Linked DNA regions of Sus scrofa. The protein of the gene in region 1 purifies or fractionates together with the protein of each later gene. This does not show direct contact. Links are inferred from orthologs where the notes say so. Each region holds a gene or a part of one and is shown in the gene's direction. Other genes may lie near its edges. The genes, in order: RAN and AKIRIN2.

Region 1 (4,539 bases):
GTTTATTTATACATTTTCCTATCAATGGACATTTACATAAAATTAATCTTTTGTTATTATCATATGGCAGGGAGCATTGGGATAACTTATCTCCTTGGGCATATGTGTGAGTTGAACTCTAGGGCATCTCCCTAGAAATGGAAATAGATGGTCATGAGCTATGGACATTAATGTGTGTTTTATTCCATTCTACTCTCCCAAGAGGCCAAACCAATTTACACTCTCACCAGGGGCATCAGCTCTACTTGATGTTTTCGTGGGGGGTGTCTAGGGAGTCCTCAGACTTGACTTTGCAGCAGGCATGTGCTCAGATGTGCTGTGTCCAATATATCACGAGTTCCCAGTAGACTAGCCTGCAAGTATGCTCAGGACTATGTGGCTAACTCCTTGGTCATTTGGGTTCTCTTTGCTCTGAGAAGAGTCCCCAAGGTGGAATCTTTTGAGGAACTTGGCTATCCTGATATGCTTGCTTGGGGAGAGGGGATCAACATATCAGTTTGAGGAGTTCCTTGTCGTGGCTCAGTGGTTAACGAATCAGACTAGGAACCATGAGGATGTGGCTTCAATCCCTGGACTTGCTCAGTGGGTTAAGGATCCGGTGTTGCCGTTAGCTGTGGTGCAGGTTGCAGAGGTGGCTCGGATCCTGCTTTGCTGGGGCTGTGGCGGAGGCGGGCATCTACAGCTGCGATTAGACCCCTGGCCTGGTAGACCCCTGGCCTGGGAATCTCCATAAGCGTTGGGAGCGGCCCTGAAAAAGGCAAAAAGACAAACAAAACCATATCAGTTTGAGAATCTGTGGCTGTTCAGACAAATGCCAAAACCTGGCCTTTAGATTTACGATGTGAGGTGGGAGGGCTCCGTTTGGCCAACGGCTTTGCTCAAAGCAAGTGAATGGGAATAACCAACACTTGTTGAGTTTGAGGTGTACCTCATTTTCTCTCTTGGACAATGGCCACAGGTGGATATGCCCTGGAGAATTAAGTTCTATGAGTGCACAGTTCTTGTCTGGACCCTTGACAGCCTTACCCTCACAAGAGTCTGGAACCTAAATACTCAATGACTGGAACCTAAATACTCAATGACTGCATGCCTGTTTGTCTCAGAAGAGCTGCCAAGGTGGAAACACTACATTGCATCATCCTGTTTGCAGAATAGGGCCACAAAGGCTGCTGACCACTTAGATGCTCAGAGAAAAAAGTGACTGGCATTTCAGGATGGGAAAGACATTGGTCTTTGCTTCTTTTACTCTCCAGAAGGTCCTTACTGAGATGGGGGTGAGGGTCAAGGGCAGGGGCCAGAATACCGGTGGGTGGGGGTGGGGCAGCACGCACCCCAACATGGCGCCCGCTCGGGGCCTGCGGTGCCGCGTTCGTACAGCTGCGAGGGGGGGGGGGGTCAAAGGCTTTGTGTGGGCCACCCCGCGAGTTTCCCGCCCAAGGGGGCCTCGGCCCTCTCCTCCCAGCTCTGTTCCCGCGGCGGCAACAGGGCGCGCCGCGTCGCTGTCAGCGCATGCGCGCGCGGGAACCCGCCCTCTAGGCTGGCGCACGTGGCCCGGCAGCCCGACGTGCGTGCGCGCGACCGCCGGGCCTCCCGCGTCCGGGGCTCCGGGAGCCTCTCCCTCCTGGACGACGGGTGCGGCCGCCAAAGCTGTGCTGTGTGCGTGTGCGCGCGCGCGCGCGCGCCGGGCCACGTGGGAGCGGCGCGGCGCCGTTGCCCCGCCCTCCCCCGGCGCGCGCCGGCGTCGTCTGCGTCTCCGGGCATTTGAATTGCGCTTCCGCCATCTTTCTAGCCCTCAGTCAGACGGGCGCGGAGACGCTTCTGGAAGGTAGCGGGGCAAGGGTGGAGGCCGAGGAGCCAAGGCGGGGATGGGGGGGTCGGGGCGTCCCGGTGGCTGTGGCTAGCGGCAGCCATGAGGAGGTGGTTTCGCGGGGCCTAGGTGTCAGGTGGAAAGCTCTCTTTCCTGGCCGCGGAGGCCCCGGGCCGGCGCCGGAACCCGGGCCGCAGTGGGCCGGGCGGGCGGAGAGGGTCCCCGGGGCGGCCAGGCGGAGGGGAGATCGGGCTGGAGGGTCCTGGCGGGGGCCAGGGGCGGCTGGGCCTGGTTGTGCTACCGTGACCAGGCGCTTTCCGCGCCCCGGTCTCCGCGCCGAGCGAGCCTCCCTTTCGCCCGGCCTCCGCGCCGACTGGGCGCGCGCCGGGCCCCGGCGGCCGGAGGAGCCCGGCTGAGGAGCAGCGCCGCCGTCGCCATTGGCGCGCCCTCGGCCGCCCGCGTGCGGTGTCGGGGGAGGGGGAGTGGGCGGCGGGGCTCCGGGTTGGAGGCCTTTGTGGGCCCGGGCACGTGGGGCGGGTCGGGCCATGCGGCCCGCGCCGCTGTGCAGCGGGCCTCACTTCTTTCTCCTTCTCTCGCAGTAACATCACGATGGCTGCCCAAGGAGAGCCCCAAGTTCAGTTCAAAGTAGGTAATCCTCGTGAGTTGGGGATCTGCTGCTGTGGACCTGAGGAGGGGATCTGCGGGGGGGGGGGGCTCTTGTCCAAACGGGTTTCACAGGGTCTCCTTTATGACCGCAAACCTGTGTCGAAGGCCCACTTCGTCTGCCAACATGTTCGTGCCGCGGCAGGGCCTTCAGCCCCCCGATAACGGGGTGGGGGTGCTGGCCCCACCCTACGGATAGGGAAGCTGGGCAAGGGAAGTTTCATTGGCTCCAGTCATTCATTAATATGGGACAGGGCAGCTTCATTAAGATTCTTTGTTTTAAATATACTTAAGGGATATTTAAAGTTCTGTTATGTAAGTGCAATGGGTGTCCATAAAATCTTAACTACATAATTCTGAGATCCTGAAATGTTGCGTGTCTTGGTGTTTATTTCAAAAATGTCTTTCGACAGCTTGTATTGGTTGGTGATGGTGGTACTGGGAAAACTACATTCGTGAAACGTCATCTGACTGGTGAATTTGAGAAGAAGTATGTAGGTACGTAGGGGAAAACCATTGATGAAGATGTGTGCGAAATGGATGAGTTCAGCGACTAACTGGAAGTGCTTGTGTTTCAGCTACCTTGGGTGTTGAGGTCCATCCCCTTGTGTTCCATACCAACAGAGGACCTATTAAGTTCAATGTATGGGATACGGCTGGTCAGGAGAAATTTGGTGGACTGAGAGATGGCTATTATATCCAAGGTAGGTGCTTGATTTGTAACCAACAGTTTTCGAGAGGATCTGTGAGTTGGTCTCCAAGGTTGCTTATAAATAATCCGATCTAGTCCAGTAGACTCATGCATAGTACTGACTGAACTGGGAATCGGGTAGTTGGATCCAAAGGATGTGCTGGCTTCAGGGACTTGACCATCATTTGAGGGGCAGAGAATTTTGTGAAGTTTGTTATGTGCCATTTGATTGTGTCATGATAGGCACGGTTTTGGAAGAAACTATGGTTTGTGTTCAGGCTCATAACTTAAAACGCCACAGACAAGCTGTTACTGGAGCTCCTGTATTTGAAAACTTGGGAGTGTTTGAATATATATTTTGGTGATTTCAACGATTATTTCTTGTGCACTCCATTGAAAAGGTAGTAAACATTTGAGCAGATGCTGGACCAGAGGAGCTAGGTCTTCTGTCTTATAAAATGTTGTATAGGACCAGCTGATTTCTTTTTAAATGTACTAGGTCTTGTGGAATATTTATTTCAAAGTGCTTGGTTTAAAAAATGGAAGGAAATAAGTGCTTATACCAAGAAAAAAAGATGAATAAAGAATGCTTATTTCCTAGAATCTTTCTCTTTTGATGAAAATTGTTGAGAATCTTTCCATGTCTTTTGCTTTCCTTGGGTACATACAAATGCAAGGATTCCCGCCAGCCAAATCTTTTAGCTACAAATCTGTGTGATACACTGTGCCTACTTAGTGGCTTAGCAGCCTTATTATGGCTGTTCTATAAGACAATAAATACGGGCTTCACTGAACTTTTGAAAACAGGCACACTATATATTCTCATGTATTTATCTATTTAAGAACCTTTTAAAGAATAGATTCTTACATCCTATATGTGGAAGGTGAGTTCTCTGGAATGCTAATTTATTGTTAATCTACATTGGGTATTTTTTTTTTGAATGAGGCAGAGTTTATGATGAATTACTACAGGTGGAGAGATTTCATATGGTAGGCTGGTCTTTCATGCTTTCACATACAATAAAAGAGAATTTAAAATAATGTATATTTAAATGGTCTAAGATTTTTAGAATTGGTATAGACCTTGCAATTGAATAGAGAAATTAGAGTTAGGCCTGAGATTATGAATCTGAGTCCATAGTTTTCAACATTTTTTTCATTTGGGTAGTAAATTCCTTGGTATGTACTAATTGCTGTACATTTTCCAGCTCAGTGTGCCATTATAATGTTTGATGTAACATCGAGAGTTACTTACAAGAACGTACCTAACTGGCATAGAGATCTGGTACGAGTGTGTGAAAACATCCCCATTGTGTTGTGTGGCAACAAAGTGGATATTAAGGACAGAAAGGTTAAGGCAAAATCGATTGTCTTCCAC
Region 2 (2,921 bases), on another chromosome or scaffold:
GTTTTAAGACTAGGGAAATGCTTTTTCTTTCTAGTGATAGAAAAATGCTTGTATTTGAACATTGAAAAGATCCAGATGAAACCTAAATTAGATGGTGCTTTCTGTGATGGCTCTGAACGTTGTGCTTTTTGTTCTTTATGTTTTATTTAGGGACTCCATCAGCAACGTCCTCACCATTAAAAAAAGAACAGCCCTTATTCACCCTACGGCAGGTTGGGATGATCTGTGAACGTTTATTGAAAGAACGTGAAGAGAAAGTTCGAGAAGAGTATGAAGAAATACTGAACACAAAACTTGCAGGTATGAGATGAATTTTATGAGTCTCCCAGAAATTCATCCTAGAGTTTGTTAAATGCATTCTATCCCACATGTACTTTATGTCAAATTGCCCTTTCTGTACACTGGCACAGGGTTCTTTTCTAAGAATCAGAGCTTTTCTTCTTTTCTGTCTCTCTTTTTGGTTTGTTTGTTTGTTTTTTTTGTTTGTTTGTTTTTTTTTGGCTGCACCCATGGCATGTGGAAGTTCCTGGGCCAGGAATCAAACCTGTGCTGTAGCAGTGACCTGAGCACAGTCTTAACCCACTGTCCACAAGGGAACTCCAGAGCTAGAGAATTTCAATTCAAGAAAGGAAATGAACTTTTCTATAGCTCCTGGCATTCCTGAGTGACCTTAAGAAATAGTATTGGGAGTTCCCATCGTGTCAGCAGTTAATGAACCTGACTAGCATCCATGAGGATGTAGGTTCGACCCCTGGCCTTGCTCAGGGGGTTAAGAATCCAGTGTTGACGTAAGCTGTGATATAGGTCACAGACATGGCTCGGATCTGGTGTTGCTATAGCTGTGGTGTAGGCCAGCAGCTATAGCTCCAATTTGACCCCTAGTCTGGGAAACTTCCATATGCTTTGAGTGCGGTCCTTAAAAGCAAAAAAAAAAAGGAAGTATTCATTAGCTATGAGATCACCAGCAGTATTAGGGAATTAGGTTTTTCTTTTGATGTACCCATGTTTGACTTTGTCTATTTATCTCGACTTGGTTGGGGTTTTTTTTTTTTTTTTTTTTTTTTGTTAGGGCCACACCCATGGCATATGAAGTTCCCAGGCTAGGGGTTCAGCTGGAGCTGCAGCTGCAGCCTACACCATAGCCACAGCAACGCGGGGTCCAAGCCTCATCTGTGACGGCAACAGCGGATCCTTAACCCACTGAGGGAGGCCAGAGATCAAACGCACATCCTCATGGATACTAGTCCGATTCATTTCCACTGCACTATGACCAATAGCTCCCAGCTGTGGGTTTTTTGACTGTGTCTTTTATGATAATTTTGCTATCAGTCTGGACACTTGAATTTAACTGGCACCTACTGCAGTCTTCTTTTAAACTATCAAAAAATTTTTTTCCTGTAAAACTTGCTAGTTTAAGGTGCAATAAATAAAACTTATTTGTGGTAACTTAATCAGAATTTTCCCCTGGCTTTTAAGCCACAGATTTTACTGGATTTGATATTAGAAGCTTGATTAAGGAGTTAGGTGCAAATATAGGCGAGAATTTTTTTTTTTTTTTTTTTGGTCCTTTTTTAGGGCGGCACCTGCAGCACATGGAGGTTCCCAGGCTAGGGGTCGAATCAAGAGCTGCAGCTGCCAGCCTGCATATACCACGGCTACAGCAACGCCAGATCTGTGACCTACACTACAGCTCACGGCAACACAGGATCCTTAGCCACTGAGCAAGGCCAGGGATTGAACCTGTGTCCTCACGGATGCTAGTCATTTGTTTCTGCTGAGCCATGATGGGAACTCCCTAGGTGAGAATTTTTAAGTCATGTAATTGATGTCTATCTTTATTTACAGAACAATATGATGCATTTGTGAAGTTTACGCATGATCAAATAATGCGACGATATGGAGAACAGCCTGCTAGTTGTAAGTATTTCATCTTTGAACTGAAAACAAGACAGTATTTTAAGAAGACATTTATTATCGTCTATATACCCAAGAAGAAAATTTAACAGAAAATCCTGGAGGAAAAGTTTGGAGGAAATGAGCAGCAAAACTTTACTAAGGCTTACTTTTGGTTACTTAAATACGTAAGGCAATATATTAGGGATGAAGATCTGGTATGTGTTTAAATTTTTTGACCTGAACTTTGCACTAATTTTCGTTTTTTCCTCCTTTAGATGTTTCATGAATCACGTTTTCTGCAGTTGTGGGCTGCCTTGTTCCTTGTTGAGTTGTTGCAAGAGGTCCCAATTATGACATGCAGCAATGCCAATACCCCCTGTGAATACAGGTTATTTCAAGCTTTTGTCAGTGGCAACCACTCTTAGGCAGCAACTGGTTTTGGAAATTTCCCTGATGTCAATACCACCCGGATGTGGACATTTGCTACCTGTATTAATGCCAGTGGCCTCATTTGCTGTATCATTACAATTTGGCTTCTTATATTAATGTTTGAAAAAGATTAAAGCTGGTATTCTAAGAACATGCCCTTCACTGGTTGTGTAAATAAAACTGTAGAATGACACTTCAGATGAAGTTAGTGTGATTTTAATTGTGCACTACAACCAAGATGTAACCAGTTATTAATAATTTAGAATGTAATCCCAGGACATTATTAAGCAAATAGCCTACAGTGCTTCCTGTGAAATAGTGAAGGAGGAGGGCATTTCTGTATTCCAGGACTTTTCTTGGGGTTTCAGAATGGGTTTATATGATTTCCTTTTTTTTTTTTTTTTGGTAGTTTTTATTTATTCTCTCAGTCTTTTTAACAAATGTTTATTGCTGCATTTTTTCCCCCCAGTGTATCATTATTGTTTTACTACCCTTGTAGTACTGGAATTTAGTTGGAATAAAACATTTACTTCTAACCTGCTTGTTTTTAATGTACAGATGGGTAGTATTTGAATAAAGCTAGTGTTTTAAATGTA

Evidence for each region.
Region 2: the proteins of RAN (region 1) and AKIRIN2 purify together in Homo sapiens (affinity purification with mass spectrometry; 3 studies listed by BioGRID and IntAct, counting the BioPlex papers as one, with this or other methods). This does not show direct contact. The link is inferred for Sus scrofa from reciprocal best matches to the Homo sapiens genes RAN and AKIRIN2.

What each region holds. Positions count from the first base shown.
Region 1 is NC_010456.5:24,315,049-24,319,587, reverse strand, and holds the start of RAN (GTP-binding nuclear protein Ran), read left to right. Parts: upstream 1-1,563; 5' UTR 1,564-1,825; intron 1,826-2,406; 5' UTR 2,407-2,416; coding exon 2,417-2,452; intron 2,453-2,883; coding exon 2,884-2,968; intron 2,969-3,048; coding exon 3,049-3,174; intron 3,175-4,369; coding exon 4,370-4,539. UniProt on the Homo sapiens protein: GTPase involved in nucleocytoplasmic transport, participating both to the import and the export from the nucleus of proteins and RNAs. Switches between a cytoplasmic GDP- and a nuclear GTP-bound state by nucleotide exchange and GTP hydrolysis.
Region 2 is NC_010443.5:56,047,132-56,050,052, reverse strand, and holds the end of AKIRIN2 (akirin-2), read left to right. Parts: intron 1-150; coding exon 151-300; intron 301-1,845; coding exon 1,846-1,917; coding exon of another isoform or gene 1,918-2,003; exon of another isoform or gene 2,004-2,171; coding exon 2,172-2,182; downstream 2,183-2,921. UniProt on the Homo sapiens protein: Molecular adapter that acts as a bridge between a variety of multiprotein complexes, and which is involved in embryonic development, immunity, myogenesis and brain development.